Linked DNA regions of Drosophila melanogaster. The protein of the gene in region 1 interacts with the protein of each later gene in a pairwise test. Each region holds a gene or a part of one and is shown in the gene's direction. Other genes may lie near its edges.

Region 1 (7,515 bases):
GGGAAAAGGGTGCAGCTACGCCGGAAGTTGCGCCGTGATCGGATAATGGGACGCTTCGATGAGGCCCGTCACCTGGATCAGATGCGCCTATCACACTCTGCTCAGGCGGCCAAGTCGCCCGAAAATAACAATTACAGTCTACACAATCGCAACGAGGAGGAGCACCTGCCCAGCGAGAATAACGTGATGGGCAAGACGGTAGTGCTGGTGGGCAAGAGGCGATTGAGTCCGGTCGTGTCCACCACATTCAACGTGGAGGAGCGCAGCGAGACTTCGCTGCTGCAGCAACAATTTGAGCACGAAAACTGTGTCACCTGGGCAATGCATGGTGGCGAAAGTGTGATGATGGAGGAGACCCAGAACGACTGGTACTTCGAGCAGCTGTGCAAGGAGACGGAATCCACGGCACCCTTTCAGCTGCAGCCGCTGGACTACAAGCCGCTTGATGAGGAGCAAGTTGAGCCGAAATTCACACAACTGGTGGCCGCCTCTTGCAGTAATATCACTACGACTAGCTGTGCCACCAACATGACCGGCGCCTCATCTTGTACAGTCTATTCGATCGGCAGTGTGCACATGCAGCCGCTGCCGCAGATCAATATCACCTATGTCCAGCAACCATCGGACTTGCAACAGCGCAGGCCAACGCGCCACCGCTCGTTAATGGCTCAGTGCAGGCGGTTCCTACGCCATCTGAGTCTTGGCCAGCGATTGGTCATGGGCTTTGCATTGCTGGTCATGGTGGGGCTGTCCTTGCATCTGGCGGACAAGCTAGTGCTGGTGATCACTGGCATCTTGTCGGGAATGGGGCTCGTCTTTCTCACCTATTCGTGCCCCGGACGCAATTAGAAGCGGCAACGAAAGCAATGGGAAACGCACAAATCTTGCTGATGATCTATGATGATGATATATGTATGTTCGTTATGTGTAATCATGTTCACTTATTCCTTTACAGAACTCGCCGCCCAAGCGACGCCTCAGCAACATGTTCAAGCGCAAGTAGGCGTGGTCGCAGTCGCAGTATTATACATATATTCCCCCATTCGTGTACATCAATCGGAACTTGAATTCTTGACTTATTATTTATGTAACCATTTTTTTTTTTTTTGTACATCAGGACTTAGAGAGTTTAGTTTAAGTATGCATATGTTGCAGTGGTACAATATCGTGGGCGAACATAATAATGCAAATAAAATTGTCTGTACATATTCTAGAAATGCTTACTTTGTTTTTTTTCTTTCTATCGTATACTCTTACGAGAAATCACTGAGCGAAAAAAAGTGTAATTTGATCGCTTACTCGATCAGCCAGCGAAACGTTCGATTTATCTTGGTTTTCTGTTCTATATTGTTAGGCAGAAAAACCTGAAAGGTTTTGGCTTGAATTTCATATATATAATATAAAAAGAGATATCCACCAAGATGCTTAAGAAATTACACAATGATCGGAATTGTCACAGCCAGCAACTTGGTTATCCACATTGGAAGAGGGGGCGTGACCAGCTGTGTGACTGCGAGTGGCCAGAAAAAAGAAGTTCAAGAAAACCTGCTCCAAACGAGGTGAGCAGGAGGCTCGCTCCACCGACTGACCAGCTGACTTATCCACCGACTAACCGACTAAACGACCGACTAGCCTGCGAGAAATCGGTGACTGTTTATGATGCAATGGCAAGGTTAGAGCGAAAAACATATTTTTGTTTATCGCGTTTAGTAAAAGGCCACTTATTGTAAATGCTGAGTAAACAACAAATATCTAGAATAGTGAAAATACGAAGAATATTTGCATAATAGCCAGGAATTTGAAATAACAATTAGTTGGCTTCAAAAGATTTGGTTGTAAGTTTCAAAAAGATGTAAAATCGTTGTAAAGTTGAATAGATTGAATACAGTGAATATTTAGAGGTTTTTATTATTTTTAATTGTATTTATTCCAACATTTATTTCATTATAAGCAAGATATATATGTGACTCCACGAGGGTGAAAATAAATTGTATTGACGTGGTAACTACATTTAAGTTAAGATTCTAATCCGATTAGAGCAATATATATGCTATATTTATATGTTTTCAGCTCAAAAAAAAATGTAAGCAGCCAGAGTGACACTTGAAATATAAAATAGAAGAATGCCTTAATTCGAAACACCTTGTGTTTGCGACACTAATCCAATTTCAAGTCAAAATAAATCGTTATATACGACACCACATTGTTCTGTTTCGAAGAATCTCCTTTTGTCAGGGTCTGTTTTTTGTGAGTTCTTGCGTCAGATGGCTTAAGATCTATAGATATAGATGTACAGATATTTGCAACGCAGTTTGGAATTTTGCAACCTATTCCTGTCCGGGGATCAGAGTCAAAATGACCGGAATCTCCGCTCCGTGATTCTGAGAAATTGCGTTGTCATCGTCAACAGGTGTGCTTGGCCAGTTTATCTAGCCGATCTAGTTGATCGGGTTCAGATACAGATATATCCTATAGTCGCTTATGCATATGCAATTATTCAAATCGATGGGATTACATCTATGGACTTGGTATCGCAGTGCATTCCACGTTTGTCCAGATGTGCATTTAGCGGACACTTTCGAATTAATTGTTAAATGCGCCGTGAGTTTTTTTTTTATTTTCCCACTATTTTTTTTTTTTTAAATTTATTGTTCTACGATCTTGAACAGATTTTTTGTCCGAGTTACTTTAGTTTTGAACTCTGTACTTTCACCTTTCAAAAGATTTAATCGTTAAGTCTGAGTTGTTATTAAATTTAACAAGGATTTTTAAAATCCTCACAAAGTAAATCAACTTAAATAGACTACAAAAAGAGCACAAACTCATATTTAAATTATATCAACTTGGCATGTAAATATTTCTATAAACGTAGCAATTATCTTGTGCGGAAAAATAGATTTGTTTGCCATCAACCAGATTTGCAATTTGTTTACAAGTAACTTATATTTTTAAATTTAAATATCATTTAGCTGAGTAACGGGTATGTGATAGTCGTTCTCTTTTGTTTTAAAGTAGAAATATTGCAGAAACAAATGAAAATAACTTATTTATTTATTATCACAAAATGCATGAAATTATTGAATCTATAATATGTGTGCAGGATTGTTGTGGTAACTTTCTGGTATTCTATTGATAATTTTTGTGGGAAGTTGATACAATAATAGGTAGCAAATAGCAACATTTTTCCGAAAGCAATACTCGAGTTTAGCCAGTTTATTAGTGATTCGGATCGATGACCGCTGAGATCGGAGAACAGGAAAATCTTACAGATACATTGTGTCTCTAGCCAACTATATTATGGGTTGATTGGCACGTGGTTTAGTGGGTGGAAAGGTGGTGGTCGGTTGGATCGGTGGATCGACCGACCACACGATATGCATTAATGGTAATGGTTTTGGTTGGTTGGTTGATTGGATGCTCGGTTGGTGTTTCAAATTGGCCCAAGATTATATATTATATTATAGACAACTTTGGCGCATTTAAATGAATATCGATGCGATGCGGCGGCGGCGGCGCCTGTTGTTGTTTATATCAAATCAAATCAAAACGAATCGTATCGAACTAAAATCTGGTTCCGAGTATGAATATGATTTCGAACCGGCGGGTATTCAAATCAGTCGACGCCCCCTATGTTGTTGTTATTTCAGTCTTTCGATCGGCCCTCTCGGCTCGAACCGAAGCCAAAGTCAGGCGCGTGATAACCGGCGATGTTAGTGTATGGGCTATATATACCCAGATATGCGTATATATGTATATGGATGTCTATATGGAGAGCCTATATAGCAATCGACTAAACGAAGTCGGCCGGAGGCGATAAAAGCCCCAAGATATCGCCGAAGTAGATCAGTTTAGCACAGAATTCGCAAACGACTTGAAAGTACTAGCCCATATCAACCATATACCGTGTATCCAAAGGGAATCCAACGAAAACAAGAATCGTCTGTCCAACACAGTGATTGACCAAAGATCACAGCTCTAATGCTCGTCTGGAACGATAAACAGGATACAAATTTTTCATTCATTTGAGCAGAGTGCTCCATTTGCCAGAAATCGGGACCGGAGACATCGTCGTAATCAAAAATATTAGCAATATTTGTTTGTGCTTTTTTTTTGTTTTTGTTTATTTTGATTCGATTTGGTTTGGTTTGGTTTGGCTATTCGATTTTCTTTCGTTGAATCGGGAAAAGGGCCGGCCTGGTGATAATGCCCAGCAGTTTTGCCAACGAGAGTCAGTTCCGATACCAGAGCAGCCGCAATCGTGCCAGCTGCACAAGCCGGAGTCCCAGCGAGCCGGAATCCCCGGCGCCGGTGACGCCCAATTGCGATGTAGTCGATCAGGCGCTGGCCGAGCTGCAGCTCCAATCGCAGGACATACGCAAGCAACAGGACCTGGTGGACACCACAGCCACGAGCAGCAGCAGCCGAAAGCGTTCCGGATGGGAGATAAAGGGCTCCAAGCTATCCCTTAACACGCACAATCGCATTCGGAACATTGTCGAGTCGCTAAAGATCAAACCGAATCCGGAGAAGCCCATGATACCGCTGTCCATTGGTGAGCACCATAAATATATAAATTAACTAATATATATCTAAAGAGTAAAAGTTCTAAAAACTGTACGTATATAATCAGTTTTCTTTTAAAATATGGTACTTAGTATATTTCTTGTATAGATTCATTTTAGATATTTAAAGTTGACATCTTAAACTTTCAAGTTCTTAAAACTTATAGGGCTTTTTATATAAACCTTATAAATTATTATTAGTTTGTCTGCAAATTACTGATTCTTGAATTTCCTTTGACGCAGAACTTACATATGTGTTTGAAAAATCTATCTTAAAAGCTTTTCCTCTTCAGAATTCTCAGAAGTATGCTATGCATTTAGCATGTATGTATAATGTATATTTACATTATCAGGATTTCGCCTTCTATTTACTATATATGCATTAATCTGAAAAGTACGCCTTTAATAGTGGCTAAAAGCAATGATTTGAAATATCCAAAATTTGCAAATTATAGAAAAATATTTGAGCAGGTAGTGCTAACTATCCAGTTTCGTGGGAAACCTGCTCCTCATTTCACCATATCCCCATAACACCTCTGACGTTTTTGCTACAAGTTTTTGGGCCAAATTTGAATATTTCTGATGTGCGATCTCTTTTGCTCTTGCCGTTTTATAAATATATATATATATATATTTATATCTTAGTTTTTTTTTTATTTTTGGCAGCTGAGTTGTCCCAAACTTGATAAAACTAGCTTTATGAACCCAATGAATTCGGTTTCATTGTGAACTAAAGCGATCCATTGGTCATACACACCCACAAAATCGGGCCAATCAGAGATCGGTGCTTCGGCTATAATGCTTATAAGTCGTTATATAAGTTGGGACATTGGACTTCCCTGAAATGTTAGAGCTCAATGGGAATTCGGGCTTACTGGCTTTCTGGCTTAGGAAATTTACAGAGAAGCTAATTTTGCCGATTGTCGCGAGTTTCTAAATTTGTGCTAAAATATGCCAGATACCAGATATATAAAATCTGTAAAGCTGTTGTTGTTTCGATTGTTGTTGTTCTTGTTCTTGTATATAATTTAATTGTTTTTTTTTTGTTTTGTTTTTAGTAATATCGTATTATTTTTGTAGCGAGGCACGCGCACTGTATTTGTGTTTTGTGGGGCATTTGCATAAAATGTAGTTCCACCTGTTTGACAAAGTCGAGAATCCATTCGAATCGAATCGAATCGAATGGAATGGAATCGAACTCGGGATCTGAGCCAGATTATACTGCTGCTGCTTGCTTAGCCATCGGAATCGGGAATCGAAGTTAGCCGGAAACGAACGAGTTAGCCATTGACCCAATGCAATCAGAGATTCGGATGCGAAGTCGCCTGATTTTTATTTTTTTAACACCATTTTGCATTCCGTTTCCAAAAATAAATGCACTTTATTCCATAAATTAGGCAATTCACTGATGGAATATTTTCTGTATTATTTTATTAGCTTAAAGGTTATTTTATATTATAGATTATATATTTTAAATGCATTTTGAAACTTGCTTTTCTCAACCAGGTGATCCCACAACCTTTGGCAATCTAAAAGCCGCCGATGAGACAATGAAGGCGGTGCTGCATTCCCTGGAGAGCGGCAAGTACAATGGGTATGCCAGCACCCAGGGTCACGAGATAGCCCGCAAAGCGGTGGCCAAATACAGTGCCCACCAGCGTCCCGACGGAGAGATCGATGCCAACGAGGTGGTGCTGTGCAGCGGCTGCTCCTCCGCCTTGGAGTACTGCATCCTGGCGCTGGCGGATCGTGGTCAGAATGTTCTGGTGCCGCGACCGGGTTTCTGTTTGTACTATACGCTGGCCCAGGGCTTGGATATCGAGGTGCGCTACTACGATCTTCTGCCCGATCAGCAGTGGCGCGCCGATCTCGTTCAGCTAGAGAGCCTGATCGATGAGAACACCGCCGCCCTTTTGATCAACAATCCGAGCAATCCCTGTGGCAGCGTCTTCGATGAGAAGCATCTGCGCGAGTTGATAGCCATCTGCGAACGCCACTATCTGCCCATCATTGCCGATGAGGTGAGTGACCCTTAAATCGAGCACACATGAAATAATTGAATTGAATTGCCTTTGCTTTCGTTGCAGATCTATGAGCACTTTGTGTTCCCCGGCTCCAAGCACTTGGCCGTGAGCAGCCTGACCACGGAGGTTCCAGTTCTCTCCTGTGGCGGGTTGACCAAACGCTTCCTGGTTCCCGGTTGGCGAATGGGTTGGATCATAGTGCACGATCGCAAGAATCGTTTGCGCGATGCCATTGTCGGTCTAAAGAACATGTGTGGTCGCATTCTGGGCTCCAATACCATCATTCAGGGTGCCCTGCCCGATATCCTGACCAAGACACCGCAGTCTTATTTTGACGGCGTGATTGATGTGCTCCACGTAAGTTTATCATTTGTAATTATCAGCTTAATGGATAATTATTATATGATTATTTTTATCCCACAGTCGAATGCCATGCTGGCCTACAAGATGCTGAAACAGGTGCGTGGCCTCGATCCCGTAATGCCCAATGGAGCCATGTACATGATGATAGGCGTGAGCATCGAACGCTTCCCGGAATTCAAGGACGACACCCACTTTGTCCAGGAGATGGTGAATGAGCAGAGTGTCTTCTGTCTGCCGGGCAGCTGCTTTGAGTACCCGGGATACGTGCGGATCGTACTTACTGTGCCCGGGGCAATGATCGAGGAGGCGTGCTCCAGGATTGCCGAGTTCTGCGATCGCCACTACAAAAAGGAGTCGCGCAATTTCATTGAGCACGGACTGCTCGACTGCGATGATGTGGCCTTTTGAGCTGGGAGCAAAACATTTATTAGATATTCTAGACTACAATTTTTATCAAGTGTACATAAGTGTATGTATGTATATATACTATATATATATATATATCAATCATTTTAACTATCCAATATAAGGAGTATTGTCTCAAAAAATTGCTGGAAAAGTAAAGC
Region 2 (7,515 bases), on another chromosome or scaffold:
TAAGCTCTACTAAAACGAATGCACTTCACATTTTGTAAGTGATATTTGTTGTCTTTAAAACTTTAACACGTTGAATTTGCTTCTCGTCTGCATTCTCACCTTATATTATTCAGCAACTTGGCTTTGGTGTCCGGTGTCTTCATTGACACATTTGTTTATGCACTTTGGGGAAAATATTTTTGAAAATCACTGATTAGGTATCGACTGCTAGGCCTTCGAACTTTAGTGTGTTGGCTTTCGAACCGATAGAGGGGCTTTTATATCAGAAAGCGTTGCGGACTTAGTGATATCATCACGAGTGGGGAGCGTGATCGAGATAAACTAGTTTTTGGGGGCTCTGATGCAAAATCGGAGGAGCAGACAGTAGACTTGTGCCAAATTTCTTGTTTACGCCAACGAGTGGTACGTCAATGGAAATCAAGTTTGCCACGCGGGCCTCCATTTGACAGTAAACATCTCTAATAGAATAAACAAACCCAAACACCAAACAAAGGTATAAGTAAACAAATTAGTAAGGGGAATTTTCTGGATCCATAATGTTTCAGGTGGTTTCCCAAGGATCTGTTGAGCATTCTTCTTGACTTGACGATATCTCGTATAGTGTTAAGGTATTCAGCACTCCTGTCTTTATATAGATTTTTGAAAACGCATTTTTGAGCTCCGGCACTCTTAAAAAAATACAACCTTTTTTATTTTCTTTGTCCAGTGTCTGGGCACGTTTTTTAATTATTGAACTGTGTGTCTGGCGCATTTGCATAATGCAGTCTGAACAAAATATTTGGCAGACATATCTGGCTATATATTATTCAAGTCAAATGCAGATTTTGACATTTAAAACGGCGAATTAGACGTTCAAAGTACAATATCCGATTTGCTGCTTTAGAATTCTTCTAACGGGTTTCTTTTTGGAATTACCGCTAGGAGAAGAGCGTAGAAGCTTGGGGGGTCCTGGATGTCATTAAACCTATGAAACTGTTTTTGTGGGATATTTACATTTAAATATTATCCGGAATCTACAAAATAATACTTGCAAGTATAACTAGTTTCTGAAGAATTCAAATGATGCATAATTATTTTCACTAACGGGGGAATCCTTAGGATTTTTTGTACAAGGTATTTCTATATTATCAGGCAATCTAAGAGATTAAAAATAAAACATTTTTAGATTTGAGATTCCATACAATATCTATTGTCTGGATATGAGCATAATTCAGATCGAATCTCTATATATCAACAAACAACAGATTAAAATACTATTAACCGGCAACAGGCTTTCGAGTTGTTTTCTTCATCAAATTGGCTGATGCAATGCAACCAAGACTTTTCATCAGCCATCGGTTCATGCATAATTCGTAATATCAATAGTGATCGGATGATATTGTTAATCATTATAGATGCATATATAGGCAGATACTCGAATGCATCGCCGTGCTACGGAATATCAGAATTTTAGAGACTACATACCATAGCAAAGGTCCTATTTGCGGAATTTTGGATGACGTGTCAAAAAACCGCCGGCCGGCAACTCTAAACATTTTTCGAGTCTTAATAATCATGTTTGTTGAGAGGAGACAAAGGAAAATACTACGTGATACATAGCAGGTTTTACTGGGGGTGTTTTATACCCTGGTAATACCGCTTATAAGAGAGGCTTCGCTTGGAAAAGCGTTTGAAGTTTCACAAAAATTATTATATTGCTTAAACCTAATGAAAAGGTTTGAATGACAAAAAGTACTATTACTTGTGCAAAACTTTAACACGATTATTAATAGTACATAGCAAATAACAGTTGATTTCAAGCATTTTGTTAAACCTAATAATATTCAGAAAATCTCTATATAGTAATATATAATTAAACAATACTTGTACCATGTGTCTCTATTGTTTTAAATGGTATCTTGTAGTCGATTCGTTGCTGGCCGCTGGAGTTGCTTGCAAAGGTTTCGTTTCGTTTTCGCGGATTAAACCAGTTGCTCTAGAGCTCTAATTTGCATTGTCGTCCGCTGGAACGGGTTAGCCTCAGACGGAGACCGAGTTTGAGGTCAACGGGGGGAGGGAGTGGTGCGGGGGCGGTGCGAGGGCGGTTTCTGGCGGCTTGGATATGGTGCAGCTGGCACAGCGACATTGACGCTACTTGCTGGTAGAACGGTGACGCAGTTGCTCCGCCAGACATTGCACTCGGATCGCCGGAGATCGTATCGCATCGGAACGGAACGGATTGGTTCGGCGTATTTAAACCAGTTGTGGAAGCCGCTGGAGGGTCAGTAGAAAGTCCAGAGCAGAGCAGATCGGTAACGAGCTGAACGGAGCGTGAGCTGTGAAATTTCCTTTCTTTTCCATCCAATGTGCAATTTGCAAAAGTTTTGTGTCAATGCCAAAAATTAGCCACACGGATTCCAAACAAAAATTGTTGAAGCAAGCAAGGTGGGTAAAAAACCAGACAGAGCCAGTTAAAATTATTGTACATAATTGTGAAAGCATTTGCAATGTCCAGTTAAAAAAAAAAAATTTATATGAATTGTTACTAATACAAATCCTTGCTTATTTAATTTGAATAGATTGGGCAAACATCTGTCATCGAAAAAAGGATCACGTACTGGAAACTCGGCCAACAACAAGGAACTTAAAGTACTCACCCTGTTGCAAACTGTACCGTGAACTTTGACTTCTCTACAAACGCATTGGAAGCGCAGCTTTGTGTAATCGGCAGAAAATTGTACCTATTCAAAAAGAAGGAAGCTATCTAGATCTAGAGACAAAATGGTCTACACCGAACGTACCGACAAGTGCCTGAGCAGCACCACAAAGGACAACCAGTCCACGAAGGGTCAGAACCACTCCAAGTCGAGCAGCGGCTCTGGATCGGGTTCGGGATCAGGATCGGGATCTTGGAGCAGTCAAGCATCGAGTGCTGACAAGTGGAAGTACAACAACATGGTGAAAACCGATCGCCAGCAATTCAATGGGATGCATTTCTCCTAAATGCTTTAGTAGATCCCATTGAAATGTTCCTCTAGGAATGTGGTGATCCTTGAGAAACGGGGAAGCTGGGGGCTGATAACGTTGTTATTTCTATTTGGTTCAGCAGGGCCGCTTTAGGTTAGTTTTGTAAGCCATTTTATAGACTTATTCATTGCTATGTGATAAAAGAAAAGAAATCATTAATCAATCAATTGGCTAAAAAATTAAATCAGAAGAAGATGCGCCAAAAAAATGAGATTTTTAATGGTGGTGAGAAAGTATCTCGGGAATCATAATTTCTAACTCAACCTTTAAACTTAAAGCCCAGAATGTTATTTCATTCATTTACCATTTGAGAGCCAACCCCAAATGCAATCACCTAACAATATTCATTGCCATTTGACCTTGCTGTTTGACTCGAATTGACTTGACTGATACCCAACGCATATTTTATTGTCTGCAGCATTTGCATGAATTGCGGCTATTAGCGTGATTAAGCCAACTTCTCTATTGGGCCATACGGACAACCCTCGATGAATCCGGACGGAGAGCACTTAATACGCATTAGACACGCTTATTTGACAGCCTCAATCTGCCGAGCGATTCCTGCAATATTGATGATGTCTGGCCATCCCCTTTTCCTTTCGATTTCCCCCGCTCTTTCCATCTGTGACGCGTGTCCTTTGCCGACAACAAGTGTATCTCCCAGTGCAGCCGCAAGAGGACGACGTCCGGTTTTCGCTACGAGAATTCGTTCGACTGTATATTTCTGGAAAGTGCGAAATTTTTATAATTTTTCAATTGTATTGTTTGCCGGGCTGGGAAGCATTTATTTTGCAGCGGGAGTGAGAAGGATGCTGCGGTTGTCCTTCGGTCGTGACACACGACTGAGCAGGGGACTCAAGCTTCGCAGGACACGTGGCACTTGGCTATTAGAAAAAGCGATTTCCTTGACGGTGCTAATAGAATTCTCGCACTCTCCGCCAGTCCCATCCCGGCGTCAAAGAATAAATGTTGTGGCGTTTTCGGGTTTTCCTTTCCGGGAGCCAGCTGTCAATGTCCTTTACACGGAGAAAAGTTAAGAACACGATTTACAACTTATTTCAAATCATTTCGATTTTGAACTGCTATTATCAATTTTAAGTATATAAGTAAAAATATGGATATGCATTTCTATATCATTCAATATAAATTCACACACCATGATTTTTCTAAGTGAAACTCATCTAGTCGAGTCCTGCCACTCCCTTTGCCTCCGACTCAACCCATCTGCTTGGGCTTCTGTCTGTACTGGGCCTTGTAATTACTTTGTTTCCTAGCGCCAGGCGGTCCTCAGCACCCAAAAGATTCCTTGTCACTTTTGGTGTTGTGCGATGCAATTAAAACCGCTCCGCAGGTGTCCTTTGAACTTTGCTACGAATATAAACTGTGTCTCAGCCCGAGTTTGCTCACTGGTGTGGAATGTGTCAGTTGCAAGGCTTCCGAAACGGGACAACGCTCTCTGATTTATCAGACAGAAGCAATTATCACGTCATTATCAACGAAAACCCACAAAAATTGTGGGTGCTGTGATTTTTGTTTTAGTAATTGGTACTCGTGGAGTACATGGTCTAAATACGTTGTAATATAAATTTTTCATATAGGTTTTTATCTTCTACGCAGACTCTTTATATACAAAATCAGTACAATGTTGAATACATTTTTCACGAATGTTATACTGGACAAATATTTATCGCAATTTCTTCTCTTTTGAATTTCTAACAACCCGCGCGTGTTGGCCTTATCAAATCTTTGGCTTTATCAACTGAAAAGTGATTTCCGCTTAGAGACAACCCAGCACGACAGACCCCTAATTCCTTCCTCTAATGGCATATGTCACAATGGCACGTTGGGAAATTATGAATAATATCCGTAACTTCTGCCGAGGCACACCATACACGCCCCAAGTGCCGTGAAATATTCCCGAGCAGCTTGCGTTGAAAAAGTGGAAGAGGGCGGCCATGCCCACACTTCAACTGAGTCGCTGCCAACGCCTCCGAAATTTGTGAGTTTCAAACTGCCAGGCAAATTTGTTTTGGGGCGTGCCGTCAGATACAACTTCCGATGACATCCGACAGATGTTTTGCAGCCAACAGGATAACCACCGGATTGCCGAGTTTGCAGTACTTTGCCCCGGAGTTGCGCCCGCTTGCAAAACAATTGTCGGCACATTTCCCGTCGCGGATGTCTCCGCCAGCAGCAGTTGAAAATGTACAAATGCCCAAAGTCGATTCAGATGCGAATTACATTTGAATGTAGGTACTCGATGATAATGTACGGGCGTTGACATCTCGGCAAAGGTGTTTTGCCTTCCTGTTTGGCACATGACAATGTCATCGCCACATGGCAGACACACTGGATGTCGATGTCGAATCGCTGGCAAGGTGTGACGCATCTGAAATTGATTGCCCCGAGAATGGGAGAATCCAGGAGGATTTGCATGATATTCGATCAGAATCAGCTGGCTGAAGATGTGGGCAGATACAAAGTGGATAAGTGAATTGTAAAAAGGCACCCTAAATGTGTTGCCTTTAAAACACTTAAGATATTCTATACCCCTATCATATTCACATTTTCGACTTACAAACTTTGACATCAAATGTATATAATATATAAGCCCAGCTCTAGTCAATTAATTTCGTATCTTAAGTTTCCTCTCCGCTTTCAAAACGCAACCCTTTCTAATATATTCTCATCGAACTAGATTTTCTTCTGTCAATTGTAATCATCTCTATCAATCCCTGGATTTGCATGCATCATGTAAATTTCAGATATATCATATCACATAACCTCTTATAAACTTATGCAAATATTGATCTTGCGTAGAATATAATTTACAAAATATGCCAAACATTCGCCGTGACAAAAGGTGGCAATTACACAGAAAAACAGAGAAGCATGAACTCAATTCAATCGCAGAGGGAACATTTAAAGAATCCAAATCAAAAGCAACCACCTCGTTTGCCGTTTGCCCCCTCGTTTTCCATTGTTGCGGATACATTTTTCAGCCGCCATTCCTGATCGACAGCTGTCATGAATGACAATTGGATTGCAGAAACAAAGATTCTGAAGTTGCTGCCCCTGTTTCAGTGCTGCATCGCACTCGCATTCAGATTGAGATCCTATAAAATATGCAATAAAAATATGAGACCCCGTAATGATTGCCAGTATTTATAGATTCCGAACAGTTCTGCGGCTGCTGCGGCGAGGTCATCAAAACGAAAACAGCCAAATCGACATGAAAATTGAAACAATGGCAAGGCGAGTAGCATTCTGAAACCCCAGGGGCGTAGAGGGCAGGCAATTTCGTGGGGGGTGGGGCTCCACTCCACACTGGAGTGCTTCGAACTGGGCAGAATTGAACGAACGTGGAGTGGTTCTCAAGTAAAACGCAGAACTGCGGTTGCTTTTTTGTGGGTCGTCTCGGGATAATTTGAGAGTGGGACATTCTAAGGATGTGAGTTTCAGCCTGGGGAATTAGGGTATATACAAAAATACGGCAGATTTATTTTTATAAATTTTAGAAATATTTTAAAATTATTTTGTGGATCGATAGTTCGATCTTTTTTTAAAGATTTTACATTTTAGATCTGGTGCTTCAAAATATGGTTTTTGAATGTCCCAAATATCAAGAGTTTTTCTTCTTGCTAAGACTTGGAAGCTGATTTCCCAGGCCTCACTGGCCCAACTTCTTTCCCAGAGTGCTGCCCTTCAATAACCATATTTAGCATGTTTTCGTACGCACAGCCGCATGTGGGAAAGGTTCGGGGAGTGGGGTTTGCGAGGGCAGAGTGCAAATCCTTTAAATGCAATTATGGCCTGCGGCTCATGTGAGCTCAAGTGCGGAGAGGTCGTCACAAAACGCCAATGATATGCTCTCGAGTGTCTTTGTTGTGGCTTAAATACATAAGCAGGGTAACTCCCTCTTCTTTGTTGGCCCCCTCACACCACCCCCTTAACACCCCTTTTTCACCAGTTTCCTCCTGTTTTTACAGCCTGTCCAAAGAGAGCGCGCCAAAAAGTTGTGGCTGAGCTTTCCATTCGCCGCTCGCTGGTCGGGTGGTGCAGATGGGTGATGTACTTCCCTTTGCCAGTGTGCGTGCGTATCTGTGTGGTGGTAGCGGACTCGTGTGTGGCATATGCATCGCTCCACAATCGCATCATTTTGAGCAATTAAGTGTGTATTATCCGTCGCTGCGTCTGTCAAAGGGCCTTGAAAGCAACTTCAAAACCGAATCCAGTCGCGGCTCGCAGTTGCTCCTGTTCCTGTTCCGCCACCGGAAGTACATTGAATGTGCCAGTGTGTATGTGTGTGTATCGGTATATGCGGCACACAGCAAACAAATCAGTCTGCGAATTTCAAAGGTAAGTTATTTTGAGAGCAAACAAAATACCAATATTCTCTTCAAGCGATATATTGGAATTATTGTGTCTAACGAAGATCGTGTTTTATATTTTTTATAACTTTTCCTTAATTCATCTGTAATATATTTCTTTCAGTGATCTATGGCTTCC

What was found.
Region 2: the proteins of Tat (region 1) and CG10570 interact in a two-hybrid assay, tested with the Drosophila melanogaster proteins (one large-scale study listed by BioGRID).

Annotation. Positions count from the first base shown.
Region 1 is NC_004354.4:14,257,382-14,264,896, forward strand, and holds the start of Tat (tyrosine aminotransferase), read left to right. Parts: upstream 1-3,841; 5' UTR 3,842-3,978; coding exon of another isoform or gene 3,979-4,026; 5' UTR 4,027-4,203; coding exon 4,204-4,552; intron 4,553-6,068; coding exon 6,069-6,583; intron 6,584-6,649; coding exon 6,650-6,943; intron 6,944-7,009; coding exon 7,010-7,357; 3' UTR 7,358-7,515. Other genes in the region: mud (mushroom body defect), read left to right, coding at 1-849.
Region 2 is NT_033779.5:18,805,728-18,813,242, reverse strand, and holds CG10570 (uncharacterized protein), read left to right. Parts: upstream 1-2,256; 5' UTR 2,257-2,371; coding exon of another isoform or gene 2,372-2,424; intron 2,425-2,558; coding exon of another isoform or gene 2,559-2,658; 5' UTR 2,659-2,760; coding exon 2,761-2,982; 3' UTR 2,983-4,549; downstream 4,550-7,515. Other genes in the region: CG42305 (uncharacterized protein), read right to left, coding at 100-143; CG42502 (uncharacterized protein), read left to right, coding at 2,372-2,424, 2,559-2,658.